2 linked regions of the Tamandua tetradactyla genome follow. Each later gene encodes a partner of the first gene's protein in a complex. Links are inferred from orthologs where the notes say so. Each region holds a gene or a part of one and is shown on either strand. Other genes may lie near its edges.

What was found.
Region 2: the proteins of DDN (region 1) and MAGI2 are in contact, whole or in part, in a crystal structure (PDB 6KKG), measured with the Mus musculus proteins. The link is inferred for Tamandua tetradactyla from reciprocal best matches to the Homo sapiens genes DDN and MAGI2. Residues at the interface, in NP_001013763.1 of Mus musculus: Asp222, Arg223, Pro224, Pro225, Pro226, Tyr227, Val228, Ala229, Pro230, Pro231, Ser232, Tyr233, His237, Arg238, Thr239, Leu240, Gly241; in NP_001164217.1 of Mus musculus: Glu308, Met309, Ala310, Tyr311, Thr312, Glu313, Gly315, Tyr318, Ile320, Asp321, His322, Lys325, Thr326, Thr327, Ser328, Trp329, Asp358, Tyr361, Tyr364, Val366, Asp367, His368, Arg371, Arg372, Thr373, Gln374, Phe375.

What each region holds. Positions count from the first base shown.
Region 1 is NC_135333.1:109,878,575-109,894,282, reverse strand, and holds DDN (dendrin), read left to right. Parts: upstream 1-7,891; coding exon 7,892-8,100; intron 8,101-8,510; coding exon 8,511-10,446; downstream 10,447-15,708. Other genes in the region: PRKAG1 (5'-AMP-activated protein kinase subunit gamma-1), read left to right, coding at 1,886-1,995, 2,183-2,264, 2,362-2,420, 2,561-2,606, 2,713-2,767, 3,048-3,174, 3,281-3,446, 3,605-3,642 and 2 more. UniProt on the Homo sapiens protein: Promotes apoptosis of kidney glomerular podocytes. Podocytes are highly specialized cells essential to the ultrafiltration of blood, resulting in the extraction of urine and the retention of protein.
Region 2 is NC_135327.1:138,413,797-138,430,127, reverse strand, and holds the start of MAGI2 (membrane-associated guanylate kinase, WW and PDZ domain-containing protein 2), read right to left. Parts: upstream 5,779-16,331; 5' UTR 5,451-5,778; coding exon 5,150-5,450; intron 1-5,149. UniProt on the Homo sapiens protein: Seems to act as a scaffold molecule at synaptic junctions by assembling neurotransmitter receptors and cell adhesion proteins. Plays a role in nerve growth factor (NGF)-induced recruitment of RAPGEF2 to late endosomes and neurite outgrowth.

The sequences.
Region 1 (15,708 bases):
AGGAAAAAAAAAAAAGTCATATACAAAGAATCAGAACTGCCTTGGGTGGGCATTGGGGGAACTGCCTTGGAGTCACAACACCGGAAGCTAGAAGGCAATAGAGCAATGCTTATTGCTATATGCAGGAAAATAAATTCCTGGTTAGAATTCTATATTCAGCCAAATAATAAATCAAGGATGAGGATAGAATAAAGCTGTCTGCAGGGTGCAAGGTCTCAAAAAATTTACCTCCCATGCACCCTTTCTCAGGAAGCTACTGGAGGATGTGTTCCACCAAAACAAGGGAATAAATCAAGAAAGATGAAAGCATGGGATACAGGAAACTAGAGTGCCAACACAAGAGACATGAAACGAGTCCCTTGGATGGTGATGGAGATAGATCCCAGGATGACAGCAGTGCACACCAGGCAAACCAGCCCAGATTTGAGCAGGTCAGAAGGCTCCGGGAGAGACTTCTTCGGGTAGTTTAAATTGATAGAATTTCTTAGACTTCTGAACTTCTTGAGAGGAGATTTAGACAGTTGGTGAAGAGTTTGGGGGTTAGATTAGTCATAAGTACTATACATAGAAAATTAAGCAAACAAAAAAAGTTGTGAAAGAAAGAAAAAAGCCTGAAGTTTACTGTTTGGTTTAGCTCTGAATGTTTAGAGTCAAAAAAATAATTTTGGTTACTGATGTAACCAATATTATAATATAACTTCTGGAAGAGTGAGGGGTTGGGAGGTGCATGTTTGTGATGCAGTCCTGGTAGGAAAGAGATCTAAAGATTGTCATCTTCTTTGGTAGGAAGATAATAGATAATGCCCCAGAATGAAAAAATCAAAAAGTAGCAATACAAATAGATTATTTGTGGACATAGATATAAGTACAAAAATAATCAGCTAAACGGGTGAATGTGTTCATCTCTGGGAAAGAATAGTATAGGGAGATGGATGTCATGAACAAATTTTGAATTTTTCTTAACAAAATTTGTAGAACTATTTGACTCTTTAAACTGTGTGCCTGAATAAGTTTGGTAAAAATGAAAAAGCAGACAACAACTGGCATAGGATTTAAGAGCATGTGCTTTAGAGTCAAGAAGATCTATGTTTGTGCCTTATCCTGTTACTTAACTAATGGTATGACCTTGAGCAGTTTGTTTAACTGCTCTAACTCCGTTTTCTCATCCAAAAAATGAGGATAATATTTACCTTGCAGATTGCTGTAAGGATTAAATGATGTAATACACATAGCATAGCACATAGCACATTCAGGTATTATTTTGGGTTGTCATTTCTCCAGTTGACAGCAAGCAATTAGAACCAGAGGAATGGAGAGGTAAACATCAGTCAGAATTTCCCATTTGTCTAGAGCAGATGGAATGAATTTTGATTCACAGGATGATCCAAGAATGAACCCTCAGGGTGTTTGGGGTCAGGATGTTTGAGTGCTAGGCTCCAAGTTAGTGTTGATTAGAAATGGCCCAGCTTGGATCATGACTTTTCCATTGACAGATCATGGAAAAAATTTAAGACGCTTACTCAGTTTTTCATCATCACTGAGAAGAGGAAACAAGTGAAAATGTGCTAAACATATGAAAGGAAAATCTGAAGTTAAAGATGAGAGAAAAACTAGAACAGGCCAATGAGAGATATAGGAATTCTGTTTCAGCCAGCCATCTTTTGTCTATATTCATATAGCCAATGGATATAGTCCTACCTGGAGACTGAAGTTGAGAGGAATTGTTTCTAAGGAGTTTATCCAGTAGGAACAAAACAGAATAAGAGGCCTTATAGAAAAGCATACTCTCAATATTTGAGAAACTACAAGAGTGTTTTATTTTCTACCTCTTTTGGATTGAGAGTTATTTAATGGAAGAAATTACTAACTGTCCCACCCTGTGCAGACCCCCCAGAATCCAACAATAGCGTGTATACTTCCTTCATGAAGTCCCATCGCTGCTATGACCTGATTCCTACAAGCTCCAAATTGGTTGTATTTGATACTTCTTTACAGGTGGGTGAAATCCTCTTTTCCCTTCCCCTTCCTTGGAGCCTCTGGTTCAATACCTAAGTCCTATCTTATCCTTGTCCTTCTGTGGGGTTAGTCTCATATTTTCCCCCGACACACCCAACCACACTATTCTTTTAAATTCCTGTCTCCTGTGTATTTCCCTTTGTGAGTGTTACTCTTTTGTCAACAGGTAAAGAAAGCTTTCTTTGCTTTGGTGACTAATGGTGTACGAGCTGCCCCTTTGTGGGATAGTAAGAAGCAAAGTTTTGTAGGTAAGCAAAAGTTTCTGGGACACAGTATATTGGCATCTTGTGCTGGGTGGGGAGAGAAACTTTGGGCTGTGCTGAGGGCTCTTATCTTGGCCTTTAGGCATGCTGACCATCACTGATTTCATCAATATCCTACACCGCTACTATAAATCGGCTTTGGTAAGGAACCCTAACCCCAGGACCAAAACCACTTGCCCTGCCCAAAGTCCCTCATTCTCATTTCCTTTCCTTCAGGCAAGCCACAGAAAGTTAATGAAGCAGGGAGATCAGGTTTCAAATTCTGTTGCTTCTGTTTCCAGGTACAGATCTATGAGCTAGAAGAACACAAGATAGAAACTTGGAGAGGTATGTAGAGGATTGGTGATTGTAGAATCATAAAGGGATTGAGGGTCTCTTGAGAAACAGTTTTTCATGATGGTATTTTGTGTGTGAACCATCCCTTTCCCCTCAGAGGTGTACCTACAGGACTCCTTTAAACCGCTAGTCTGCATTTCTCCTAATGCCAGGTGAGTTCCAGTTACCCATTTATCTAGAAGGAAAAGAGCCTTGCTATCAGCACAGTTAAAGCCCTATACCCCCAAAGATCCTAGGAAACAGGCAGAAGAGAAAAAAGACAGTCCTTCCAAACACATACATACTCTTTAGATCTGGTTTGAACCCTGCCTCTCCCCAGTCACCAGCTTTCCACAGGGTGTTTACAAGCAAACCCTGTGGAGAAATTATCTCACCATCCTCAGCCCCCAACACTATGGAAGAACTGATCATTATCCCCCCACCTTCCCACAGCTTATTTGATGCTGTATCTTCATTGATTCGAAACAAGATCCACAGACTGCCAGTTATTGACCCAGAATCAGGCAACACCTTGTACATCCTCACCCACAAGCGCATCCTCAAGTTCCTCAAATTGTTTGTAAGTGCTCCTTGGCCCAGTTCTTATTTCTGGATATACTAAGTTGGAGTGGTATCTGAGGGTAGTTTGGGGGCCTTTTAAATAAAGCTTATGGTTATTTTCTCAGATCACTGAATTTCCCAAGCCAGAGTTCATGTCTAAGTCTCTGGAAAAGCTTCAGATTGGCACCTATGCCAACATCGCTATGATCCGTACTACCACCCCCGTCTACGTGGCTCTGGGCATCTTTGTGCAGCACAGAGTCTCTGCCCTGCCAGTGGTGGATGAGAAAGGTGAGAAATTGGGCAGAAGGAGAGGGAGGGTTCTGGGAAAGTCAGGGTGGCTCTGGGAACATCTGTTTCTGCCTCACCTTAGTCAGGAGTGTGGTACTGTGGGCAAGAGGAGCCTTGGATGCCAGATACTCCTTGCTGAACTGCCTTTGTCCCCCTAGGGCGTGTGGTGGACATCTACTCCAAGTTTGATGTTATCGTGAGTGATTGTGGAGTGGGTAGGGAAAATGGGAAGGTGGGGTATTGGATATGGAGAGGGAGAAGAGGGCAGTCTTTTCTGGGACCTGAGGGTCTTAGAAGCTTCCAAGTTTTCAAATCCTATTTGAAAAAGAATCAATGATCTGGGTGAGGCTTGGGCATGGCAAAGTTGGGTGGGCTCAGGGTTTGGGGATGGTTCCTTTGCTTTTCCCTGCAAGCTCCATCCTCTGTCTTCCCAGAATCTAGCAGCAGAAAAGACCTATAACAACTTAGATGTGTCTGTAACCAAAGCCCTGCAACACAGATCACACTACTTTGAGGGTGTCCTCAAATGCTACCTTCATGAGACTCTGGAAACTATCATCAGCAGGCTGGTGGAAGCAGAGGTAGGGAGTTCAGAGACCCTGAAGGAGCTGGGGTGGGGAGGGAAACAGGCAGCAAGGGACTTAAACCTTGTGAGTGGGGCTTGGCAAGTAAGGTAGGGGATGAGGAAGCCCACCTAAACTGAGGCTGGCACTAAACACCCTTTCTCCCTTGTTGGTTTATGCCAGGTTCATCGACTTGTGGTGGTAGATGAGAATGATGTGGTCAAGGGAATTGTATCATTGTCTGACATCCTGCAGGCTCTGGTGCTCACAGGTGGAGAGAAGCAGCCCTAAGCTGGTGAAAGGGATCATGCAGCACCAGGGGATGTGCTCTGTTGGAATCACAGATAAAGCCTTGGGAGAATTGTGACTGTTTTCCCTGCTCAGGAGTCCTATACCCTTCTACTTGGGAGCTTGGGGAGGAGTATGGGAGGAAGGAGAATGGAGTTTTAATTGCCCTAACCCTCACACATATACTTGAGAAAAACTTTCCGCCTACCCTATCCCAGCCCTTGTCCTCTCAGGCATAATTCCCTTTCTAGGTAAACAGTGAACTCTGTGCCCATCAGGAAAATTCTGATCTCCAAGAGATCCCCAGATCTCGACAACCCTTGCCTCTTTCCCTGCCCCTTTCTCCACCCTAAGATAAAAGCACAACAAAACTCTGCATAAAGCTATTTTTATTCATCCTGTTTCATGCTGTATGGGAGTGACATTTCTTCCCATAATGGAAGTGGGGAGGATCGTGAGGAGGAGGGCCTTTGGGTTCCTCTGCTGTTTTCATGTGAAGGCAGATGGAGATAGGTGGAGGTGGAGGGCAGAGTGGTTAGCTGAGGTTTTTGCTTTCCACAGTGAATCTAATTAAAGTGACAGGAATCTCTTCATGGTATTGCAGTGTTTGATTTTTACAATTGATAGACACTACTGCCGTAACCTTCCTACTTCATGTGGCTTCTTTACCTCATCAAAAATAAACAACAATAATAATAGCACATACACAAATATAAAACATACTGGGCGGGCCACGGTTGCCCAGCAGGCAAGAATGCTTGCCTGCGATGCCAGAGGATCCGGGTTTGATTCCCGGTGCCTGCCCATGTTAAAAAAAAAAAAACAAAAAAAAACATACTGTGCACCGGCTACCATTCTCAGTGTTTTGCAAATATTACTTCATTTAGTTCTCAGAACAATAGTAGATACTATTTACTATTCCAGTTTTACAGATTAATAAAAAGTGAGGCATTGAGAGGTTAAGTAACTTATCCAAGGTCACACCTCCAGTAAAAAGTAGAGCTAGGATTTGAACCAGTCTGGTTCCAGAGTTATTGCTCTTTACTACTACATTAGACTTACTGCCTCTCAAATCCTTTCATAACTGTTCTCTGCCTCCCTTATTATCTCACTTCCCCTCTTGTATTATAGCTGGAACCCAAGGCAATGCCCAGAGCATAGACTGACTCTTCTTTAGACAGAGAGACCTGCCACCATCATTAACTTTTCCCAACCAGGAAAAACTGAACTGTTTTTGGATTGTGCTGAGCTGGCACTATCTTTGAACATACAAATCCCTTGGCTTTCTTCCAATGTGAGAATGAACTGGAGAACTATGGTTATCTCATCAAACCCTTTTCCCTGTGCTAAAACCATGTGGACCAAGATGGTAGGCAGCACTAAACACCAGAAGGACTGCTACCTGTTACACGTGAGCCAAATTCCAGGTACCATCCCTTGCAGGGTAATTCTTTGCCCCTATCCCCACTGTGCCTAAGCCTTTTGACGAACCCCCACCTTTACCATACTGGTTCCCCAAAATTAATCTTCTTAGCGGAACACGGAAAAGCATCAAGGGACTCAGAGCTCAGCTTTCAAGGCCATATCATGGCTATGGAAAAGTCTACTTCTGCATTCACCTCTTCACAGGTTTCACAGCAATTCCCAAACTTGGAGGAGTAAGGCTTCCAAGTAATTAGAATTGGGTATGTTTATGTGTGTGTGGGTGGGTACATGGTGGAAAGGACAGATATCTCCTCATGTCACATTCCATCATGAAAGGAGGGTTTATCTTGGCAGGAGGCAAGGACTTTAAAAAGCCTTAGGACTCTGGTGGGTCCTGGGTTGGAAGGAAGCACCTTCAAGCAAAGAGTCATCAGGGCAGCTGGTAGGTAGGTGTATGGATTCAAGGGGCAGGAGGTTGGGGGAGAGGAAATGGGACTGGCTGTTCTAGTTCTCTCTGAAGACCCATATTAGGGGGCAAGAAGCCTAGGTTCTGTTGCTCTGGTTCCCAGTAAGTCAGTCTCTGCTCCACGACAACCCTCCTGGCCCCATCCCCTTAAAAGAAAGGGTCTTACTAAAGGGCTGCAGATTCTTTAGTGGAGAACAAATTGGGATCTCTTCTTCCATTTCCCCGAAACCCAACTAACCAGTTTGAGAGTCTGAAGATGGAGCAGAGAGAAATACAAGAGACAACATTGGGGAGCCTTATAGCCTTCTATTCTTACTCCTCTCAGAAGAGGACAATTATCCCTTCTTCCTCAGAAGCCATTGCCATACACACTCTCCCACCCTCCCCTCCACTGGAGCTGCTGCCATGGTTGCCAGGCATGGTTGCTAAGTCTCTGCATGGAAGGGTTGGCGTGGGCTGTGCTGCCACTAACATTACCATGGTGAATCAAGGGACACCTGGTATAGGGTTGGGGGGAGGGATCATGCAGATATAAGTAACAACCCCCCAGGACAGAATCAGCCTAAGAGATGAGCATCTTGAGCACCACTTCAGGTAGGGGCTGAATGAGCTAAGCATTGTGGCGGTGGTAGTTAGGGGAAGCTCTAAACTGGGATATAAGGGACACTTTTATCATTTCAGTTGCTAGGGAATTGGTTTTACCAAGGGATCACACCATTCCTCCTCCATTCCCCTCTGAAAGGGCACAAGGGTATATGCACTCTATTCTGTCCTTCATAGGCTAGGTAGAGCTGCGTGGGTACAGAACAATGTGACCCCAATATCCAGGCTTCTGGATTGGGGGGAGAGAGCCTGCTTTTGAGGGTAGGGCTCCATGGTTGCTTAAGGACAAATATCTAGAATGGAAGTAGTGGGGCAGCCTTGGTCTCCAAGACAGACCCCTGTGTTCTGCTGTCCAGCAGACCTGAGCTGCAATACTGAGAAGGTGAGGAGTTAAAGGTATGGGGATCACCCTTTTTGAGGTTGGGGGAGCAGCTCTGCCCCAGAGTCACATAAAAACTGCGTGCAAGCCACTGCCGCCTCCTTCCACCGCATGCAAGCTGGTTACTCATCTCATCTCTGCACCCGAATGCCACTGCCGCTAAAAATAGCCCCCCAGTCATGGGCCAGCCCCTCCTGTACCCCAAACCCATGGAAACCAGCAGAGGGTGGCAGGCAGAGACCTTGAGTTCCATTCCCACCACCACTCCCTGCCAGGGAAACTGATGTCCGAGGCTGGAAGAGGAGGGAACCCAGGTGGTCAGCCAGCCTAACAAGCAGGAGAGTGAAGGGTTAAAATTAAAGGCAGGAAGGTTGTTGAAATAGGGGTGGGGGAGGAGGGACATTGTCAGCTTGGCAAGAATCTGAAGTCCCCCGCCTACTCATTCGGATCCCATCAGGCTTAGGGACAGGAGCAGTGGGAAGGGGCGTCCAATCCTGGGCCCCAGGGGGCGGCCGTGCACATGGGGGAGGTAGCATCACGGAGTCGTCTGCGCCGTGTCACATGCGCGCGCACACACACAGACAGGCACACACGTGTGCCTGGGTATATATAGTCCCCAGTCCTTAGGTCTGCCGCTCTGCAGTGGGCACCAGATCCTTGGGTTGGGAGGGGGCTCTCGGGGCGGGTGGGAGGGTGGGGGACCGGGGTGGGGTGGGGCAGGATGCTGGATGGTCCGCTATTCTCTGAGGGGCCGGACAGGCCCCAGGAGCCCCATGATGAGGAGTCTGGCAGCTGCCTCTGGGTGCAGAAGTCCAAGCTGCTGGTGATTGAGGTGAAGACTATTTCCTGTCATTATAGTCGCCGCGCCCTTTCTCGACAGCCCATGGACTCCCAGGCCATCCACTGGGCCCGCGGGTTCCAGAGCCGCACGTGAGTGAAGGAGGGATAAGGGGAAGAGAGTGGCTGGGTGGGGAGTAGGGTTTGGACCTCCGGGCATGCACGCACCAGCAAGCGCTGCTGGCCCCTTTAATCTTTCCCATGCCTCTCTCCCCCACCCCGTCCCGAGGGTTGCACCCCGACTCATCCTGTATTGTTTTGGGGGGACAGGAGTGGACGTGAGAAAGGTCAGGTGAGATGGGGCAGACTCTGTTAAAATGTGCATGGAGAGATGGTGAGGAGTCCAGCTTCGACTTCAGCCCTAACATGTACGCACGTGCACACACACTCACAGACACCCCTCCACACGGCTACCCCAAGTGGTCTCCAGTGCTCCCAGCTCCCCGGATCTCGGCTCCCTTCCCCCACAAACTGCTCACCTGGGTTCCTGCTCATTGTCCCAGGTGTGGGCGGCGCCCGGGATCCCCTGAGCCGCCGCCCCGCCGGCCCTGGGCCTCCAGGGTGCTACAGGAGGCGACCAACTGGCGGGCGGGGCCCCCGGCCGAGGCCCGAGCTCGGGAACAAGAGAAAAGGAAAGCGGCGTCGCAGGAGCGGGAGGCCAAGGAGACCGAGCGAAAAAGGCGCAAAGCTGGTGGGGTCCGAAGGAGCTCTCCTGGTCGGCCCCGCCTGGAGCCCCGGAACGCCCCTCGGGTGGCCCTGTCTGAAGGGCTTCCAGCTCACTTGCGGCCAGAGCGTCTCGGGCCGTTGGGGCGACCATCCCGTCCAACTGCGCAGTCACAGAGCGACCCAGGGGTGGCCTGGGCGGGGTCCTGGGGAGGTCGGCGTCTCGGGCCCCCCAGCTACGAGGCTCACCTGCTACTGAGAGGCTCTGCCGGGACAGCTCAGCGACGCCGCTGGGACCGGCCGCCACCCTACGTGGCTCCACCTTCTTACGATGGCCCCCATAGGACCCTGGGGACTAAGCGAGGCCCCGAGCCCTCCCAGGTGCCCGTCTCATCAGCCCCAGCTCCAACCCCGGCCAGGACAGAGGGAGGGCGCACAAAAAAGAGGCTGGATCCTCGGATCTACCGGGACGTCCTCGGGGCCTGGGGTCTCCGACAGGGGCGGGGCCTCTTGGGGGGATCTCCAGGTTGTGGAGCGGCCAGAGCAAAGCCGGAGCCCGGCAGGGGGGCCGCGGAGAAAAGCCTGGGGCTCACTGATGCTGGCCTGAACAGTGGTAGCGAGGGCCATTCCCAAGCGAAGGCTATGGGGAGCCGGGGCACAGAGACAGCTACCGTGGGGGCTGCAACTGCTACTCCTAGTCCCCCGTGTCCAGCTCCCAGGTCTAGGCCCCACCTCAAGGGCCCCAGGGAAGGGAAAAAAGATGGAGAACAGAGCTGGCTCCCCAAATGCTGGCTTCCGTCCCCTAAAAAACAACCGCCCCAGTATAGCCAGACTCTCCCCAGACCCTGGGCTCCAGGAGGCACCGGCTGGAGAGAGTCCTTAGGTCACAAAGAGCGGGCAGGACCCGAGGCCCTGGCGGGTTGGAAGGGAACCCAACGTGCCAATACCCTTCCCCGCAGTTCCCGCGGCCCCACTCGTGGAGAAGGCGTCTTTGTCATTGACGCCACGTGCGTGGTGATACGGTCCCAGTACGTTCCGAGCCCTCGAAACCAGCACGTGCAGCTTTTACAGGCTGGAGTGCCCCGCGTTGGGTGGGATGCTACCAGCAGTCGGAAGCCCAGCAAGGAGGAGGGCGAAGGGGCCGCGGCCTTTCCCTCCCCTTGCCAAAAGCTGCTGTTGAGCAATCGCGTTTCGCACCAGCCTGGCGCAGAGCGCGGGTGCGAAGCTGAGAGCCGGGAGTTGGGGGACTCCTCCCTGGAGGAGCGCGCTTCCCGCATCTTAGGGCTCCCGGTCAGCGAAGTGACCCTGAAGGGCGCCCCCACGCAGCCAGTTAACCCAGAACACCCCACCTTAGGCCCAGAGGCTTCAGGAGATATGGGCAGCACGGAGGGCTCGGAGGAAGTGGCTACTGTCCCGCGGCGCGCCGGCCGGGGCTGGGCGCGGACCCCCGCGCCCTACGCCGGGGCCCTTCGGGAAGCCGTGTCCCGCATCCGCCGCCACACCGCCCCAGATTCGGACTCGGACGAAGCTGCGGAGCTCAGCGTTCATAGCGGCTCCTCTGAGGGAAGCGACACAGAAGCCTCGGGCGCCTCCTGGTGGAGTGAGCGGACCCGGTGCGCGGTTGGGGGCTACACCCCGCCCCGGGAGAGCCGGAAGACGGCGGAGCTGAGCGACAGTATCCGGGAGATTCTAGATGTCAGCAGCCGAACCGAGGAGGCCCTCTTCGAGGCGGGGGACACTAAGGGGACCCCACAGGGCAAGAGGGAGCGGCAGTAATAGGCCCCTCCTTATAGTTGTTTCCCTTTCCCCAACCCATACTTGGGCCCACTGATCCTTTCTTCCCCACAGACTTTTTAGCTTCTCTTTTCCTTGTATCCCTATCCATACCCATTCCCATACTCGAAACAGCCCCCACATGAAAAGACAGGGACCATCTGCTCATTTATGATTTTTTTTTTTTTCAGGAAAAGTGAGGGTGAGCAGTAGACTACCTTGCCCGCTATATTTGGGGCACAAATGCCAGGAGGTAATGGGTCATCAGCAAGAGCTGATTTATTAGGTGTGGAACTAAGAAACCTAGCCGAGATTAGGCAGGAGGGGAGGGGTGTCCAGTCACAGGACCGCAGCATCAGGGCAGGGCCTCTGGGCAGAAGGGAGAAAGTAATGGCCCGGCTTGGGACTGAGGTTGCCTGGGTGACAAAAAGACTCTTGACAGAAGAGAAAGGGGCTCAGAAGCAGTCAGCAAATCAGAAAGAGGGCTCACCTTGGTGTCACAAGTCTTGGGTTTCAATCTCAACTCTGCTATCAATTTGCTAGGTGACTGGAAGCCTGGAGAAGGAAAGTCACTGGCTCCCAGGCCTCCTGGTATGTCAAATGAGGGAGTTTTAAGGTCCATCCTTCCATCTCTGACATTTTGGAATCTTTGGGGAGGCCTCTAACTCATACTCCCCTCCATAAGCCAAGGAAGAGAATTGGAAATAAGTGAACAGAGTCGGAGAGTCTCTAGGCAGCCTCCTTATCACCTACACTCATCCTCAATTCAGGAGACTGCCCAGAGTTTGTATAATTGCTGAGTAGGTGGGCACGGGGCTCCTATACAAGTCCCCCAGGTTTAGGTGAGGGTTATGGGAGGGAATGGCTGTGGCCCTGTCACTGTCCCTGGCTTATAGTGGTCTGAGCTGGAGAGGGAAGGCACCCATTGAGGAATCAGCTTGGGACCTCTCTAGGTCTTCTCCCTTTCCTCCTTTCCAATGTTCTTTAGTCACCACGATTTCCCAGGTGGTATTGCCCACCTGAAAGAACTCTGAGAATTTCATGTATCTCTGACTTTTCCAGAAACCGGTGAGGCAAAGAAGAGGGAGGCTGGCCTCAAGAAGCCTGTAGGTGTGGGGTGTGATGCTCTCTGTAGCCACTACGGGGCGCGCGCAGGTCGCGGATTTCCCGGGTTGCTTAATTCCCCTCTACCTGGGCACTGACAGTTAATCAATTGATTCCTAATACCGCGCGCCTGTCGGGAGCTTTGCCGCCTCCAGCCGTGTAGGACCGGGAGCAGGCCTCCGGCCTTTCAAACCTCTGGAGCGCGCCGAGCCCTCTCTTTGTATTCATCACGCCTCCCGGCTTGGGACCGAGGCACTGAAACCCTTTTCTCTCCGATCCCTTACACCTCTGAATCTGCCGTTTACCAGCCATGTGGACTTGGCCAAATCACTTCACCTCCCTGAGCCTCAGTTTCCTCATCTGTCAAATGGGGGTTTATAAACACCTACCTCGCAGGGTTGTTGTGAGGATTTAATGAGATAATCTATGTAAAGCGCCTAGCCCGGTGCCTGGCACACAGTAGGCGCTCAATAAATCTGTTTCCCTTTTCTCCAGCCTTGGCATCTTCTGCCTTTCACCGACCTTCCCCCCCAGAGTGCCCCTTCCGCAGCGCTCCTCCTCTCCCTCCCGCTCTCTGGTGGAGCGGCCAACGGGGGAAGGGACTCCTTTCTTTGATGGAACCCCCGGCACATCTCTGTCTCCCCCAGCTCGAACTCTTCGTTCCTCGCCCCCACCACACCCACCGTCTCTTTTCGCTGCTTGGCGCACCCCGCCCCCCGCCCCCCATTCCGGGCAAGGGCTGAGTCAGCCTGGGTAAATTTAGCCGCCGGCTCGGCTGGCGCGGGGGCTTAGCCCAGACTCAGTCGCCAAGTCCTGGCCGGGCCCCCTGGCCCCGCCTCTACCCCTACCCCCAGCGGTCCCGCCAACCCCGGCTCGACGTTCAGGTCCCTAGCCCCGGTCCCAAACCACTTACGGTTTTAGTCTTCAATTATCTTCCCCACCAGTACCGGGAGAGACTCTGGGCAGGAGGCGGCGGGTGGCAGGGCGTCCTGGGAGGCCGCTGGATCCGACTGAAGCCTGGACTGGCTGGCTTTGGTAGGGGTGGGGGAGGGGTTAGGTGCGAATGGGGGAAGGGGAGTTGGGGGAAAGTTGGGGGACGGAGTTCCACTTTGGGCTTCGGCACCAGAGGCGAGAGCGCTGGTCAGAATCATCCAGGAAGATCCCATCCTAGAACCTGCCTGGAACTTCATCTTAGAGATTTCTAGTTAGTTCTAGCTGGAGGAGGTAAGGGAAGTGGGGGTCACCTTGGAAAGAGATCAAAGGTTCCTGAGGCCCATCTCCCTTCCACCTACAAACTCAATTCTATCTACTTAACATTTTCTGGAGACACACTAGGAACCAGGCACTGGACTGGTCTCACAGGGCTGAGATGAGGAAGGCCTGCTTGATAATGTCCTTGGAGGAGTTTGTAATCTAAGAAAGGGGTGAACATGAAAATACACACAAAAACGACAGTATTGAGCAGTGTTAAGTGCTCTAAGGGGATCAGACAAGGGGGACTGCATGTATTTTATGAGATCAGGGGAGGTTCCATGGAGGAGGTGGCATCTGACAGGCCATTCTAGGTGGCATTCCTGGAAAGGGCATTCCAGGTGGAAGAAATAGCAAAAATACATGCATGGATGTAGGGAAACAGGGTATGTTTAGGGAATTATCAAATGGTCTGGTTGGACTGGACTTAGAGTACATTCAGGAAAGTTGTAGAAGATAAGGCAGAAGTGAAAATTGAGGCCAGATTGGAGTGAGCCTGGTTCTCCTGAGGAGTTTGTACTTTGGACCTTTGGGCTTGGAAAGGGGATGGACTTCAGATCTGAAGGAAGATTGAGGAAAGCCTGAGCAATGGTGGAGCGTCTGCCTGGATTTTTCTATAACCCAGGGGCTCCAGGACTCGGGCTGGTAGAAGAGGTGGGCCGCATGGGACAGTGGCGGGGCTGGCCTTGTGATGGTGGGCTCTCACCATGCTGCTTAAAGCCCCTTTGAGGATGAACACACCAGAGGCCAGTTTCTAAGAGCTCACCCACACTGCTACTATCATGAGAAAACTGGGGTTGTATTGTGTTAGAGCATGGTCTCTGGGGTCTTATAAGCCTGGATTTCAATCTTGGCTCTATGTCATACTAGCTGTGTGACCTTGGGCAAGTTATTAAACTTCTCTGTGCCCTCAGTGTCCTCAGTTATAAAAACGGGGTTACTGGTAGTCCTTTTCTCATAGGCTTGTTGAGAGGATTAAATCAGCCAATATGCAAAGCCCTTGGAACAATGCCTGGCACATAGTAAATTATATATAAGATTAACTATTTTCATTATTTCTCTGCAGGGTTATTTTGCTAGTGTGGGAGGTGTGGTGGCATGAGGATGGAGAAGAGCAATGGGAGAAGAGGAAGAGGAGGAAAAAGCAGCAGAGGACAAATTGAGAGGAGAAGGGAGCCCTGTGGTGGGCCCAAATAGCCCCTTGAATGGGTAAATGGCAGTCTGGGAGTACTTGGGTGGTTAGGTGTCAGTACCACATGCTCCCTGCCCCAGGATGGCCTCCAGCTTTTCTTAAGGATGAAATCAGTGCCAACTACCGAAGTTCTGGGGAAAATGAGAAAGAGAGAAGAAGGAGAGGAGTGACTGGTTGCAGGTCTGGGGGCCAGGCCCTCGTCAGCGATATCTCAGACTGTCCCTGCAGGGCTCTGTGGGTGGAAAACTGGAGGCTCCCTGCTGTGAAAATGATTTCTAAATCTGGCTGTGTCTGCCAGCGGGCCCGCCTAAAGACAGAGGCCACAGCCAGCCCCCATCTTGGGTCAGGAGTAGGGTCAGCAGATCCAGGAAGGCATGGTCAGTTTGGGGCAGCAGCTTCAGTTTAGCCCGGGACCCTACTATGCTCCCAACAGCCAGGTTCTTTCTAGGGAAGCCCCTTTCTGCCCCATATGGGGCCCAGTTACCATGCTTTAGAGGAGCTGGGAGCTTTCTCCCCTTGTCAGACTCTTGGGAGAGCACCCGGACTTTCCTAGATCAGCCACACACTTGGGTAAAGGAAATCAGGAAACAAACCATAGACAGACTTTGGGACTTCAAAAAGGTTCAGGGTGGGCAGTATGAGTGTGTATGAATGTATGTGAAGAGGAGGGATGGTTGAACATGAAGAGTGTACAAAGTGTCCCTATAGGGAAAAGAGTCAGCATTTATCCTGCTATTTGCTCACCCAACCATTAAATAAGTATGTCAGGCCCTAGGTACACAGTAGAGACATGGGCATGCGTCCTACCTCCAGAGAGCTCACAATCTATGGTATGTATATGATGGGTGAGGAGGTTGAAGAAAAAACCCACAGAATCATAGCAGGGCATGCAGCACAGCATAATACATGTTGATGGAGGTATTCCAGAGGGGCTGGGGTGGGGGCATGAAGTAAGGATTAGCTCCCAGATCAGGCCTCTGGATAATTGGAACATACCCAGATCTCAGGTAGACAGGTTGCTGGGATTGCCTATGTTAGTGAATGAAGGCTCAGCCAGGATGCTGTCCCCTCTTCTGCCTGTCCTGGCTTGGGGTGAGGTCCTTCCCTTGAAGCCTCCAGTACTACATAGCCTTTTGTGAATTCTTTTAGAGAAGATACTTCATCCATCCATCCACCTCTTCATTCATCCATCCATTCAGCTATCTGTTCATCTATCCATCCATCCACCTATTCGTCACTTAATGAGGGCATATGTTGTGTCTAGCACAGTGCTGCAAGGGATGCCAAGATGAGCATAGTGCAGAGCCCATGTCCCCAGGGAACTAGAAGCCAAGAAGGGAAATGAATAACATACACAGATAAGCACCAATGGGCCAGGCGGTACACGCTGTTAATGAAAGCTCTACCAAGAGGGTGCTTCAAGAGCTCGAAAAGGTAAGGCCACTTTGCCAAAGAAAATCAAAACAGCTTTCATGGACGAGGGACGTATTAGACAGTGCTCGATAGAAGCAGATAAGGGAGAGAGCGTTCCAGAAAATGATCCAGCAGGGCCAGAAGGGATAATATGAGGTGGAAATTTAGAGAAGTGGGAGAGCAGTTGGCTTTCACAGGGCACAGAGGCTTTGGGGAGTATACAAATGCAGACAGATGAGAACCTGAAGGGAGCCAAATCATGAAATATCTTTGGAAAGCAAGTGTATAATGTTTGAGCTTTAGTG
Region 2 (16,331 bases), on another chromosome or scaffold:
GTCCTGGAAACTAGCCAGATTGTAGCTAAGAAAGATTTTTGAAAGTTAATATTGGATGCCAGAGTTTCAAGGTAGCAGTTTCTATTGAATTCTGAGATGGGATTAATCAATTAAAATGCTAGCATGTGAAATACTGATAGGAGAAATGTTATTATTTGCTGAATCTTGTATCAGTATTCATACACTGATTTATTTATACTGAGTTAATGTCATTCTCACAAATGCAAAGAAAGTTTCTTGATGAACTTCAATATATGGTATCTTTTTTTCATTACATATTTTTTCTGTGAATATCTATAATTAATTTTGCTTTGTAACAGCTCTTCTCTATAAGATACTTGCTTTGTAGCTGAGAAGTACAAGTTCAGCATTAAAATATGATACTTACATCTAACTCCAGTCATATGTGAGGATGACAAATAAAGTATGGCTAAGATATAAAATAAAAAACAGTAGATCTTTGCACATAAAGGCAGCATCAGTGGAAGTTATTTTTAAAGAGTGAAAATATACTCCATTCTATTTAATGGCACTCTCTTCACATTGAAGCTTTTAAAGAAAAGGGTTTACGTTATTCTTCACTTCAAGAATATAACTTCAAACATTACTCATAATGTAAATTAGTAAATCATTTCATGTTTTTCAGTTAGTCTTCAAGTATGAGTAAAATATGAAAGCTTCATAAAATCATAATGTCACTAGCTAAAAATGACCAACACATTTGGAACAGTATTTGCTATCATTTACACAGCACTTACTATCTTTCCGACACTACATGATTTAAATGTGCAACTTTTGTGTATTCTTAAGATACTGTTACAACCCAGGTTAGGTAACTTACTCACACAACCAGTACTAAGTGATATATCCAGACTCAGCAGTCTGCTTGAGTTTTACATTTAACCACCACACTATCCCTTATCCCGGGGGAAATAATTCAGCCAGGGTTTGCTATGCTTTCAAAAGCCATTGTTTAAACTACAAGCAATCAAGAATGTCAAATGTGAAAACTTTTTGCTCATTATGAAAGTGAATGTGAGAGTTTCAAACAACTAAAAAGGAAAGTGAGCATAATAAATGTGAGAAAAGATTGCATGGTGCAAATGTTAAAAGCAGAGATGGTGACACTTAAATGTTTATAGTTGTGATTTCACCCTGAGACTACATTCGTTCAAAAGAAACACATAAAAAAGCCATATTTAACAGTGAAGGTCATACCATTTAAATTATATACATATACTGAAAAACTACAGTGGCTTCCCTGATAATTACGTATAAACATAACTGTCTCTTTAACTTGCGTCAAAACATCAAAAATATTTTATTACTAAAATAATTAACTGATCAAAGAGTTTAAATAATTATTGTTTATCGAACAATAAAATTCACATACCTCAAATTTCTATGGAGGAAAGTCCATCTTTATTGGCAGAAAATCTGGCAATTTTTTTTTACATTTCCAAACAAAAAGAAGCATATGGGCTTAACTTTATACCAGCCTGAGGTCAGAGAAGAAGCATGATTCAATAAATGGAGACCTGCTTTCCTCTTGGAAATGTCTTTAAAGAGTAATATGATGGAGGGCAATGCAGATATTCTATACAACTGAAATTCAAAGGCATTATTTGGCCCTTCTTTCACTTGGAAGAATTGGAAAACTTCTTTTGGGGGGCCTTTTATTCTCTATTGTAAGGTCCCCATGGGAAAATAAGTCCAGACTAAGTTGGTCCCCATGTGGTATTAGATGCATTAGCAATCATATTGCAAGGAATATAGAACACAATGGTCTATGTAACTGGCTGCTATGAACTTTGGTGTCAAATTTAAAACAAACAAAAAGCCTTTAGAACTTAGCGCAGACTTCAGAATCACTCAAGAAACTTCCTTTAACTGGGCCTGATGCATTAATGAGGTCATAGAACTGAACTACTCATTTTGAATTAAATACTTTGGTGAGGAAAGTTTATTGTATACTACAAAGCCACAGTATTAAAAAGGATATGATAATAAATGGCATTTTTCATATGACTCATCACTGTGTGGATTAAAAGCAGACAAGTTTAAGTTAAAAAGGAATTCCTTAAATGTAATTAAACAGCTTTTGAAATTATTTTAAATACCTTTAAATAATTATTTTAAAGTATTTAAAATAATTTTAAAACCGTGATAGATGCATCTTGTCTAGCATGTCTTAAAACCCTAGTTACATCTTATTTTAAAAAGACAATAATTTAGAATTATAATTTGTAGTAGAATTATAATGTACGTAGTCTCTATATAATACCCAATGTATGAATGAATATTCAAAAATAAATTATTAATATTTTAAAAATACAACTGTATATAAACCATGTTTAAAGTTTTCAGCTAAGCTAGTTCATTGGCTCTCTAGAAATAGGTCTACTTAAGACAAGAGTCTCTAAATGTTTTTCCAGCAAGTGAGTTCTGCAGTGACAACCAAGACACACAAATACTATATTAAAAGGATTTGAAAAATTTCACCCCACATCCAATGAGAAGTAAAATAAACTCTAGTAGTTGAAGAGGAAAATAATGATTTCAACAAGGGAATAATACACATAAATCACCATATCTTAAAAATATACAAGAAGATTATATTTTTCCCAAGAGCTGAGAGTTTTGTTTTTTTTTTTTTTCTTGGTCAAAATAATGACTCAGAATGAATCAGGTTCCTGTGAGGGCTTCTGAGAACATCATTACAAACATCAATCATCAGTGGCCCAGTGAAGCCCAGAACTAAAAATTAATATAGAATTTTAAAATATTTCCCTAAATATATCACTTAACTATGCAAATATACCATGAGTTCTAAAAGCAATAATTTTCTAAATAAAACAAAATATAGAAGAAGATTTTGCAGCAAGTTATAGCAGGATTAAATGATATCTAATACAGTTCCCTGTTTTATGTAGGTATCACTCTGAGATAATCATGTTGTATGGTCATTTGGCCTCTTTAAGAACAAAAATAATAATGGAGGCTCATTAACCCGCAAGGTGGGCCACAGAGTTTTTGCAAGTAGAAAACTTACCTTTTTAATGAAGGTAAAGTGGATTCACCATGTAATTTCCATATATTGAGCATAGTTTGCCTTGTGAAGTATCACAGAGTAGTACGAATTTCTTGATAGCTTCTTAATATTTAATGACCACTTTCATGACCTCACTTTTCCCAGCTGACTTTGAACTTGTTACATGGAATATATATAGCATACCCAACACTATCTTCTCTTCTGGACACAATCTTTCTTGTGTCTTTCTTGGACTTTTGCCAAAGTCCATCTCAAAATGTAGTGCTCAGATCTGAATACAACATTTAAGGTGTGGTGATCATTACAAAATATAGTAGGACCATCACCTCCCTTACTATGACACTATCATTAGTCCACTTTAGCAATGCATTAACTTTGCATCCACTCTGTACTACAAACACCAAGCTCTTTGCCAACAGAACCAGAGTCAGTAGTTGTTTAGTTGACCTTTTGGACACTAGACAAGAACTTTGCTATCCAGCTATCAGATTCTACTGTGACATCAAATATACAAACATGAATATCTGTATTTGAGCCTCCGGTGTGTAATCTTGAGAAACACAAAGATACTCTACTTCCCCTCCTACCTAATTCATATTCTTCGGTGCCACCCAGTATTAAATAACATTGACCTCCAATGTCTACATTAGCCCACCCCAAATCAGCAAATATGAATATTCAAGAATCTCCAAAGAAAAAATTTTTTTTCGTATGGCGCTTTATATTTAAGAAACTTTATCCGAGACTTTTTCTCACATAAAACCCAAAACTGGTTGTATGAAGAACACCACCCTAAAAGCATTGCCCATAAGACTTACTCAGGTAGTTGGATTAAGTGGTTGTTCAAAATGCAGGCAATGACATTCCATCTTTGAGTCAGAGCAATGTAAAAACGACAACAAACCCTTAGTTTGATATGCATGTGCACGCATACACATACCACACATGAAATGGTGCGTCCTGAGCTAGAAAAAGGTATGCAATCACGCGTGCACATCAAAGATACACTGCTTTATTCTAGTTGATGTTCTTTTCCCAAACTTTTATATCACTTTTTCCTCCTTTGGAACTATAATTTTCTTTCAGGCAAAGACAGTAATAGAGTTCTGCAAGACCCCAGTTTCCCTAATTCCATCACAGCCTTCAAATGGGGCACAGCTAGTCCGGGTGGAGCTAGTGAGAGCCTGAACTGTAGCCAGGAAGCCTTTCCATCGGACTCCTCCCCTGACACGCCCCTCAAATCTAGATCCAGTGGAGAGCCAAACCACAGAGGATTCCTCTCAATAAGGGAACCCCCTGAGTAAAATGCATGAGTTAACATTCATTTTACTCCCTTGCTCCCCAACAATAACACCGGTTCCTAGCGCCGCGCCTCCTTTCGCTATCCTCCTGGTGAGGGCCGGCTGGGGGTGAGAGCCCGGTCAGTCAGTGCGCACGTGACGCGCGGTGCCCACATGACACGACCGTGGGCGGAGGGAGGGGGACAGAGGGATGAAGCGGGGTAAAAAGTTATAGAAGATCCGTCAAAGCGTCCAAAGCCATCTGTCCCTTCTCCTTTCTTGCCAGCCAGTAGCTCAGGGATACTCAGGGTAGAGCACGGACAAAGATGTCTCCAGCCCAGCTCCCAGAATTTGGGGCTCAGTTCTCCGCTCCCTGCCACCACCCCCCACCCGCCCGCTGCTCTCCACCCCTCCGGAGATGCCGCTGCACCCTCAAGTTGTTCCTTCCTTCCTCCCTTCCTTCCTTGGTTTCTTCCTTCCTTCCCCAAAAGCTTTCCATCCACTGCGGGCAATGTCACTGACGCACATTCAATTTGCCCTGGGAGCTCACCGCACCGTGAGAGAGGTCAGACAAGGCCAAACTCCTTCCTGAGGGGAAGGTCTAACTGCACAAAGTTGCACACTATACCGCAACCTTCCCCTCCCCTCGCTTTAGCCCTCCGAGTCGGACCCCTCGGAAAGTTCACTCGCTCCTCTCCCGACCCCATTCCAACATCGCGCAACACACCCCCTTTCACGCGCGCGCCCACCCTTCCATTCCCCTTGGCCTAGAGCTATCCCGCCGCCTAGCAAAGCACTGGCAAGCAGCCACGCTCACCTTGCTTGACACACTTGAGCCGGAGGGGGTCCTTGCAGTGTTTGATCACGGCCAGCACGTCCCTGATGGTGAGTCCCGCCACGGGGGTCTCGTTCACCTCCAGCAGCAGCTCCTCTGACACCAACTTGCTGCCGCTCTCATAGGCCACTTTGCCGGGCTTCACCTCCCCCAGGTAGGGGAACTGTCCATTCTCGGCGCCCCCCTTCAGTTCAAAGCCCAGTTGGCCCTCCGGGTTCCTGCCAATGACACTCTCATGGACTTTGCTAGTCCAGTGGCTTTTCTTTTTCAAGCTTTTGGACATGGCAGTGGGGTGAGTTGCTTCAGCTCCTGGGTTCCTTTGGGGTGGGGAGGACTGGTGGTGAGAGGATGAGGATGAAGGAGAGAGGGGGCCAAGGAGTGAGGAGAGCGGACTTTGCCTTCCTCCCCTCCTCCGTTCCGTGCTTTCCCTCTTCTTTGGATGGAGGTTGGAAGGGGGGAGGATGAGAGGGACTGCTGGGCAGAGGTAGGAGAGAATGGGTGAGGTTGTGCTGTCCCTTGAATGACACTCAGGGCTGTGGCCCCGCAGCAGAGAAGAGCTGTGGCGGCGGCGGCGGCGGTGGCGGCGGCTGTAGCCCGAGTGAGCAGTAGCCGAGCTGGTGAGCGGGTGGGGGTGGGGGTGGGAAGAGGGTAGGGATGCCGGGGGCCACTCCTGCGTGGTACGAGTGGGAGCGCGCGCGCGCGTGCCTGGGTGTGTGTTGTTAGCCGATATCCATGGCAGCTGCAGTGGCAGCGGCTGGGTCCGTGTGTGTGTGGTGTACTAGTTGTACTGTAACTGGCAGGAGGGGAGGAGAGAGGAGAAGAGGAGAGAGCAGGCTGAAGAGGGAGGAGAGAGGAGGGGCGCGCGTGCGCCGGTTGGGGGGAGCTGTGGAGGGCTTCGTCGCTGTCTCCATTCCCTCCCTCCGCAGCTTGACCCGGTAGTGAAGGCGGAGAGCGAGGGAGAGAGGCGGGCTGGGTCCGCCTGGCAGCCTACTGGAGGAGGCGGGAGCGTGAAAGGAGGGGAGCCGAGGCCCGGCGTGGGGAGGCTGGGCAGGAAGGGCTGAGAGCCCAGTGCGGACTTTTCTCCGACTCCAAGCGGCGGGGCAGTGCGCTCGGCCGCTGCGTGGTGAGAACGCCCTGGCTTCCTCCGACCTGAGGTCCGATGGAGCAGAAATAACGTGGCCTGGGCCGCGCCCGAGTGCCTGGTGCTGCATCTCCGGGCGCCGGGATCTTCTGGCGCGGGATCCTGCCGTGAGAAAGAGCTGGCATACAGAGACCTGGCGTGGTTTTGCGGGAGAAGGCCACCTGGGTGTTGGTGCCTGGATAGCGGTGTAGAATGAAAGAGGCTTCCTCACTTCACTTTTACTGGAAACTCGTTGCAGAGTTCTCGGAATTCACCCTAGCGGGAGGGGAAAGTTAGAAAACTGTAGGCTGGTTACCCTGGGCAGGGAGAGCTTGAGGCAGCGTCACGTTCCCGCGGGCAGGCCCTACCTAGGCTCCTTGGGCCAGGGTTTGAATTTAGCGGAGGGGCGGGATTGTCCGTTGAAAGCCAATTTTAAGAGAACGAGGAGAAGGGGATTCTCTTTTTCTTGGTAGGAGAAGTGGAAAGGAAGGGGGCTGCTATGGGGGACGGCACTTGGAGTGAGCGGCTTCCGCAGAGAAATGGACAATTTAACTCTGGAGCTGTGGTGCTGGGACAAGAGGGACATGCTCTCAATCAGGAAAACCCCAGACTCTTGGAAGAAAACTTAAGATAACCAGGCCTAACAACCTCCTTCTAAGAGAAAGAAAAGAAAGGCTTAGTGGGTGAAAATAGCAGAATCAGGGATGGAACTTTTAGCTTTCTGTCCCCAACTAGGCACGTCCTAGACCAAGTTTGCAGCAAGGAGGGGAGGTGAGGACAGAGGAGTAACGATGCAGGCAGGCTTCGGATTTTCACTCAAAAGCTAATTTTGCTGAGATGTTAGGAGTTTTTAACTTTTCTGTAACTGGTAAATGAATTTAATTCGCTTAACTTTCGAATGATACGTCTCAGACTCCCCTTACATCTTCCAAAATCATGGCACACCCACTCATCTCTCTGAAGTGAAGCATGGAAAGCATTGAACAGTCAGGATTCTTGATGTCTGAGATGAGGGTAGTGTGGGAGGCAAGCATTACAGGGAAAATGTGCAGTCGACCCAAACAGAAAAATCAGACTCCAAATTTGAATCTAGGCTCTGCTACTTAACATGATCTTGGGAAAGAGTGATCTTTCTGACCCTTCTGAGCCTGGATTTCCTTACTTGATAAATAGGGTAAAATATTCTGATCTAATTGGCATATTTTGAGGATCAAATCAGGTAAGGCATCCAAAGTGCTTGTCTGGCATAGGTGGGTAGGCACTAAAAATGCTAATTTCCTTCCTCTTTCCACGCGAAGTGTATCTCACTACTTCTTGGGAAGTAGATGTCAAATTTAGTCAGAAATAGAAGCTCTTAAGGAAAGATGATTTGTTTAACTATGTGGGTTTTTTTGTTTTGTTTTATTTTTTTCCTTGAGAAAACAGTTCCCAAAAGAGTTGGCAGGGACTGGTAGGGGTTATTCAGTGAGCCGGGGGCAGTGGCAGGATATGAAACCAGAGTTGCAGGCAGTGAATGCTTAATAGTCCATAAGACTTTGTGGCAAAGGCCAGCTCTCACTTAAATAAGCTGGGTTTTAGCATTAGAGGTATGATCCTAAATAGAAATTGATAAGAAAACTAAAAATGTATTTTTAATACCAATAACAATATTTACCATGTATGGGTAATAGTAACATTTATTAAGTACTAACTACATGCCAGATATAGTTCTATGGACTTTACACATATTAATTTCTCCTGACATCTTAGTAAATCTATTATTGTCCTCGTTTACAGATGAGGAAACTGAGTATTAGATTAATAAGGCTGAAAATCTAGTTAGTGTTGGAGCTGGTATTCAGATCCCGGTGGTTTGGCTCCAGACCTGGTCTCAATCACTATGTATACTCCCTCCCATTGTGCTTACCATATGCCATACCAACTCTCACTAAATGGATCCCCAAAGTTTGGGTCTGCTCTTTATTTTAGGAGCAAGGAGGTAAAAAGGAAAAATGGCTGGGTTTTGGCCTAAGAGCAAGTTCTCCTTCCAGGACACAGGAATCATTGAGGTGTTTGTGTGAGTTAACTTGTTGCTTCTCAGCTCCAAATCCACTCCTCTTTACCCTGAGCTGTTATAATTAGAGATGGAACCTGTAACTTTTTTTTTTTTTTGTCAACTGGCACAGTGTTGGGCCATATCAGTAGAGGGTAGATGGGCACTGCAAAAAAGAGGACACTTATCTCAGTTCCAGTGCTTTTCTCCTTGTTCTTGTTCTTGTTCTTGTGGATGGCTATTAGTGAATGGCTTCTGGATTGTGATGAGTGAGAGACCCAGTGCAGTACACCTTACAGTGAGTTTTGCCAGCCCCCTAGTGGGTAGCTTCCCAATGAGTCTCACTGGCATCCCAATGGGAAGCTTCCCAGAGAATTTCACTGGTATCCTAGAGTGCTGGTTTGAAAGGATTTATGTACCCTAGGAAAGCCGTCAATCTTGTGGGAGCAACTGTTTCTTCTAATCCCTATTCAGTACAATAGGTTGGAAACTTGATTAGGTTATCTCCATAGAAGTGTGACTCAATCAATTGTGGATGTTAAACTTGTTAAGTTGGAGACATGTCTCCACCCATTCTATGTTGGTCTTGATTAGTTTACTGGAATCCTATAAAAGAGGAGATATTTTGGAGAGAGTTCCTTTTGAGAACAAGGAGAGAGCTGCAGAACTACAACAGAAAGATGAGAGAACCAGAATCACCAGCCAGCAACCTTCAGAGATGAAAAAAGAAAATGCCTCCCAGGGAGCTTCATGAAGCAAGAGTCCTGGAGCGAGAGCAGATGCCGCCACATTCGCCATGTGCCCCTTCAGCTGAAAGGAAACACTGAATGTCATCGACTTTCTTGAACCAAGGTATCTTTACCTGGATGCCTTAGATTGGACATTCCTATAGACTTGTTTTAATTTGGACAATTTCATAACCTTAGAAGTGTAAACTAGCAGTTTATTAAATTCCATTTCTGGTATATGCATTCTCGCAGCTAGCAAACTAGAACACCTAGCAAGTGATTTTCTGCTTATCAGACCCAATCTGTGACACTGCAGAGAATTTCTTAGCCATCCAGCGGACCACCACATTACCCCCAGTGAGGTCTGATTCTCAGGCCTGATTGCAAGGTAGAGATGGGGAGTTGGAGAAGGGGGGGGTGGGATTCCTCTAAGTTATTACCTCCTTGGGTACACTCTCACAGCCCCACATGTAGAGGCTGCTTCGTATATCTGCTATTCCTGTAATCTCTCATGTTCTCTACCTTTCTTAGTAATTAATTCTCTTACTGGTTAATAATTCTTTATATTTAATTTTCCCATCATATTATAGTGTGGTTTCTGTTCCTGATTAGTGCTTGACTGATATAAGGTGTAGATCATGTAGAACTCTAAAGGAAGCAATATTTGGGAGAACAATATTTTGGGAGTCAGAGGTTGGGTTCCTGCCTTAGCTGTACAACCTTGAACAAGTCACTTAACCTCCCAGAACGTGCTCCCTTGTCTGTACAAGGTAGGCAAAGGTATATATGAAAAAGCTGCTTGAGATCACATAAAATAATATATACCAATGTACTTTAAAGCTATAAAATGCTATCAAAATTAGATTGCTTCAGGTGAGGGCAGGGTGGGGGGAGGACAGCGTGTCTTGCCAGATTTATTATCATCAAATAAATATATTATTTGTTGGTAGGTTGGTTGGTTGATTTTGTCTGACTTTTTAGAGATGCAATTAGGCATCTCAACTTTGTTCAAGTTTCCAGTTCCATGAAAAATATGAGAATGAAGATATGACCATTTTGAAATGCTATTCTGGCATCCCACATATTTGCTTTATTTCTCATTTGTCTTGTTTATTCTTCCTGGGTTTGATACTTGTTGCATTAATTTGAATGAAAGAATCATTTGAGCACTGATCATTCCATATGAAGACCATGGCACTAGATATTGCATGTTATTACAGATCAAACTTAGGCTAGGAATCATAAAAGCTAAGAACAACAGCAAAAAGCAAAGCAAGAATGCTTTCAATACTTAGAAGAGTTAGTTCTATGGGGTAGATGCTTGTTCCTCCCAGGTCCCCTAAGATCCCTTTGATTTGGTCTGTGTGCCTTCCTTCGCCTCTCTGCGTCTTTTGTTCTTTTGATTCTCAAGGCCTCTGCCCAGGAGACTCTTTTTGGAAGACTGCCCAAAGGCTGCTGGACCCACTTTGCCTACAGGCACAGAGAGGCAAAAAGAGCCACCTAGGAATTTACTTCCCTTCCTTGAGCCCTTAACCAAGGACTTTTTTTTTTTTGCCAATGTCTTTTATATAGCACGAAAGCCCAGCTCTCTTGTCTCTGGTAGCAAGAAACTCTGAGGTGTAATTTGTACCCCAGTGCTCCCCACAGATAACACTGGTGCTGGAATTTTGCGTGAAAGAAATCCCTTCCCTATCTTGCTTTCTCTAGTGCCTTATGGGAGTTTCCTGAAAGCATTTTCTTAATAAATCACTTATATACCATCTTTGCCTCAGCATATGCTTCTTTGGGCCCTCATCTAAGGCATTGCTATCTCTTTTTGGAAATCAGGAAACAATAAGGCATGGAGTTGTTACTTGAACCAGGTCTGTGTGAATCTGAAACACTTACTCCTGATACTATGTTAACATTTAATGCCCCTAATAATGAAACTTATAAAAGTAAATTTCTGAACAGAAGTGAACACATCATTCAGCACTTTATAATTTAGCAGACGTAGAGAGACTATCCATGTGCTAAGAAAATGTTTGGGGAGGAAGATTATGGACCCAGAAGCAGTAAAACCAAAGTGCTTGGTGAAGGGTGCCTAACCGTAGGTGTGAAGACAGGTCCTACACTTTAGCAGAGAATGTTCAATGACGTTTTCTGTCAAGGGCTCTTTTTTTGCCAAGGCTGAACTTGCATTTGTATTAATTTCCTATTACTTCTGTAACAAATTACCACAAACCCAGTGACTTTAAACATCACAGATTTATTACCTTATAGTTCTGGAGGTCAGAAGCGTGAAATGGGTCTCATCGGGCTAAACTCAAGGTGTTGCTGCCAGCAATTTTGTTCCTTCAGAAGACTGGAAGGAGAACCCTATTCTTTGCCTTTTCCAGCTGCCTGCGTTCCTTTGCTTGTGGCCCCTCCATCTTCAAAGCCACAATAGCTATAAGGTGCTTCTCCCACCCCCTCATTCTGTTGCTAGCTTTTTTTTTTCTCCCCTCTTCCACTTTAAAGGACCTGTTTTAAGGTATGCAAATTAGTAACCTTAATTCCATCTGCAACCTTAACTCCTCTTTACCTTGTAATGTAACATAGTCACAGGGTCCAGCTATTAGGACATGAATATCTTTAAAGAACCATTATTCTTCCTTCCACAGTTTTATAGGATACCACTTTTCTGTACCTTCACTGCTTCAGGTTTAATTCAGGTCCTCAACATCAGGAATCCATATTATTGTGCTTTTTCTTCTCCCTGTCCTTTAAATGAAAAACCTCTGTAATAATTACCAGAGAGACATTATAAGTCCTCTTCTTTCTTCTTTGCTTAAAATCTGTCGCTGCTGTCCATTAAATACACAGTGAAACCCAAACTCCTCATTTCACTTTTTATCTTTCTCTGCCCCCTTCCCAAGCATCCAGGCTTATTTTTCTTTATACCCCTTGGAATTGGAGCCCAGGGTAACCTAACCAATGTGGTCTCTCCAAGATAAATAAAAATGAAAGAAGGCCCCATTAAAGCATCTGTTCTAGGTCCCTTGTAAAATAATTAAAGCCAGTGATTTCCAAGTTGTTTTAAAAGTATTTAGATTAGGGTAAGCAGCTGTTCCTGGTCTCCCCTACCCCTTTCAACCTTTTGTTTCAACCATCCTGAACTGCTCACAGTTTCCTTTGCTCACTAAGCCATTTTTTTTTTTTTCGGTTCTTTGCTTGTCTAAAATACTGTCCTCTCCCTCTGTTTGTCTTATTTATACCAGCTCGTTCTCTGAGTACCTCTAGGGCCACCTTCCCTCAGAAGCCTTTTCTGACTCCTTCCTCCTACCAAGATAATATCAACCTTTCCTTAATGTCTTCGTGTACCCTTTATAGAAATGTGACATCTAAGATATTTCATTGTTCTCAAGTCTGTCTTCCACATCAAGAATGCTTGGATTTTTGAAGGCTGGATTCCTTGTCTTATTCACTTTTGTATCCTTAACACTTGAACGATGTAAATGCTCAATAAAAATTTGTTTATTAACAGATTTTCCCAAAATGTAGTGATGACGCCTACAATTTCATTGTATGAATACCACCTTAATATGAATTTTCCTCTCTAGTATTAAATGATCATCTATTTACTCCTATACTATTGGCTTAAGAGAATAGAATGCAGAGGAACACATATTGATGAAGAAAAGAAAGAATATATTTAGCCATAAGGCAGCATTTAGAAGAGAAGCCAGGTCCTTCCAGAAATTGGGACAGCATGGTCTGGACAGGTCTGAGAGATGGTGAGGGTAGAATAGGACATTCTTGACCCTCTCCATAGTTTATCCATAGCCATTCCTAATATTAAACTTCCTTTCATGTCCATTAAAATCTTCACATGAAAATAATAACCTGTGCTTATAAAGTGGATTTTGCTTTCCAATAGCATAATGCTGAGCTTCTCAGACTTTTCTATCAAAATAACCCTAATAAAGATAATCACCCACTTCCAGCCAAGAGTGCTCTTATGGGAAATATTAAGTTTCTATCTAAAGTATTCATCTTGAATGTCTACTCTGTGGTGGGCTTGTATTTGCATTAATATAAAATATGACTTTATTCATGTTCTTCCAGTAGCATTTGCTGTGTTTATCCGGTGGTTTCCAGCATTCAGGGCTCAGCCCAGTAGCTCCGGGAGTGTGTACAACTTAGGTTCAGTAACTGGAAATACAAGTCCAAAACTTGAAGAGAGATGGGGCAACAGAGATTGATGTTGGGACACTTTGAATCTTTCACTCATTGGTTATATCCAGCAGAGAGCAAAACATGAGGTGAGAACACAGTTTACAACATTTTTACTGGGCTGAGAGAAGGGTAGGAACCAGTGAACAAGACCGTATTCCAATGTGAGAACTAATGTAGAGAAATGTATGCCCCTTAAAGGGTGTGAGAGGAATGTTTAGAGATTTGAAGTCCTCTAAACACATGCACAGGAACTGCATTCTCCATCCTGTATCTTATCAAATTATATTATGCTGCTAATGCTCCTTACCTAAAAACCTCAAATATTTTGGTTATTGTAACAGTAGGATTATATCAATTAATTTTGCATGAAAGGAGCCTAAACTGTTTCATTTTAGTATGGAATTGATGTTCATTGATTGTGCTTCTGCTTCTCACAGAAACATCCAATCATAATAGTCTTAGTATTGGAAGGAAATATCTGATCTAACTTTCCTGAAGCTGGAGAATTTACTCTCAAACAGCACTGGCAATTTGTCATTAAAAGATCTGGGAAGGGCGGGCCGCGGTGGCTCAGCGGGCAGAGTGCTTGCCTGCCATGCCGGAGGACCTCGGTTCGATTCCCGGCCCCAGCCCATGTAAAAAACAAACAAACAAACAAAATACAATAAAACAAGAAAATGTTTAAAAGATGTTTCCCTTTCTTCCTTCCTTCCTTCCTTCTCTCTGTCTTTCCTTCCCTTCCTCCCTAAAAAAAAAGTAAAAAAAAAAAAAAAGATCTGGGAAGGTGGGCCATGGTGGCTTAGCAGGCAAGAATGCTTGCCTGCCAGGCCAGAGGACCCGGGTTCGATTCCCGGTGCCTGCCCATGTGAAAAATAATAATAAAATAAAATAAAAAAATAAAAGATCTGGGAACACGGAGAAGAAAGAATAGAACAGGCAAAATCTGACTACTTAAATCTTTGATAGTATTACATAATATTGACTGCTAGAAAGTTCTGAACAGTGTGACTTTGGCCCTTATAAATCACTTTTTGTGAAATTCATGGCCCATGCAATCTTTACAGGGTAGAAAAAGAACACTGCCATATGAAGTAGTTCAGTCATTGCTCCATCTTAGCTATAGAGTTCAACAACTGGAGAAGTTTAACCAGCTCAGGAAAAGGAACTATGAAGATATGTTTTGCTTTGTTTTTATTCTGTGATTTTAAAGTTGTTGCAATATTTTATGTAAATGTTAAAGGGTATCTTAGTAAAAAGAAAATCTTACTGCTTTTATTTAATTCAACGTATACACCACATATAACAGGATGATGTTTTATTTAGATCTGGAAATGTATTCCTTCTTATGCAATCTATGTAGTCATATTTCTTGAATGTCAATATCTGAAATAATCTTGCTTTTTATTGTTTTACTTCCTATTTCTTCAATGCCTGTCTGCCAGTCTTTCATCGTCAGTTCACATCCTACTAAACTCTAAAGATATTCTCCTACCCTTTATATGTTTAAGCCTTACTAGATTTTTAGAATACTTCAAAACTTCACATACTTTGATTTCATACTATCAAGTAGCTGAATCTATTCTTTTTTTTTAGCTTAAGTGAGTAGTTCAATTGCTCTTATTTTCTACTTTTTGAATTCTATATCTTTGAAAGTAACCTTACTATTTTTTCATGCATTCACCCTTACAGAAAGTCTTATCCACTATTTGTCTCTTAATTTTCTAACTTTTTTCATATCATCGCTCCTTCTCCTTTAAACATCTAGATTTTAATTTATCCTATTTTTTCCTCTCTAGCAGATATATGCCTTCGGTTTCATCTTCTTGATCATCTTCACCATCAATTCCTATCACCAAATTGAAAAATAAATGTTAAATATTCTATATGTATTTTAATATTATTTATACTGCCCACACTCTAATTCTATTTTTTTTCGCTTTATTATTACTTTGAAATGGCAACAGTTTCAATCCAACAAAATAAAAGAAGCCATAAAAGGATACTGCTATTGTGGACTTAATTTTTATAAGTAGTGAAGAAACTGGAGGATGAAAAGGAAGTTTAGGGACTATTCTTCCAAAATAGTGAAGAATAGTCAAATGTGTTTTCTAGGTTTGAAAAAGCATAGTGTACCATCTTCAAACTGTTGTGTACCCCCAGAAAAGCCATGTTCTTAAATCTCATAAGAAATTGTTGGATGGGATTTCTTTATGTTGTTTCCATGGACATGTGACTCTCCAAATTGTGGGTGGGACTTTTTGATTAGGTGGTTTCCATGGAGATGTACCACCACCCACTCAGTCTTAATCCACCTACTGGAGTCCTCTAAGAGGGAACCATTCTGGAAAAAGCTTTAGAGCAGATACAGAGAAGAGACCTTTGGAGATGCAAAAGGAAAACGCCGCTTGAGAAGCCTTTTGAAACAGAAGCTGGGAGAGAAAGTGAACAGATCTCACTATTTACCTTCTTAGCTGACAAAGAAACCGTGAACATCATCAGCCCTTTCATGAATCAAGGTATCTTTCTCTGGATGCCTTAGTTTGGACATTTTTTAGGCCTTAGAAGTGTAAACTTGTAACTTAATAAATTCCCTTTACAAAAGCCAACCCATTTCTGGTAGATTGCATTCCAGCAGCATTTAACAAACTAAAACACATATTTTAAGAATTTCAAAGATAAGTTCACCATGCTTCCTTAACCAGATTTGTAAGAAGCAGAATTGCTGTTGAGCATTTGGTAGCAAAGAAAGCAATTCTAACCATACTAATTTTAATAACTTTGTGAAACTGTCCAAACATTATTCTATCTGCCAACATTTGCTTTTAACCATTTTGAGTGACATAGATTCCTTTCAGAATATGATAAATGCTAGTGACCATATCCTACCCTTCCATTTCCCAGAAATGCACATATGCATGTCTTTCAAATATTACATATAATTTCAGATAATTTATAGATCTACTGAGGTCCAACCTTTTGGTTCGGTAGGAAATATATTTGATGTCTAACTTAATAAACCTCTTCTATAAACTGATGTAAAACTTTTTATGTATATATACTCAGCTGAAAGTAATCTTGTTTGTTTGG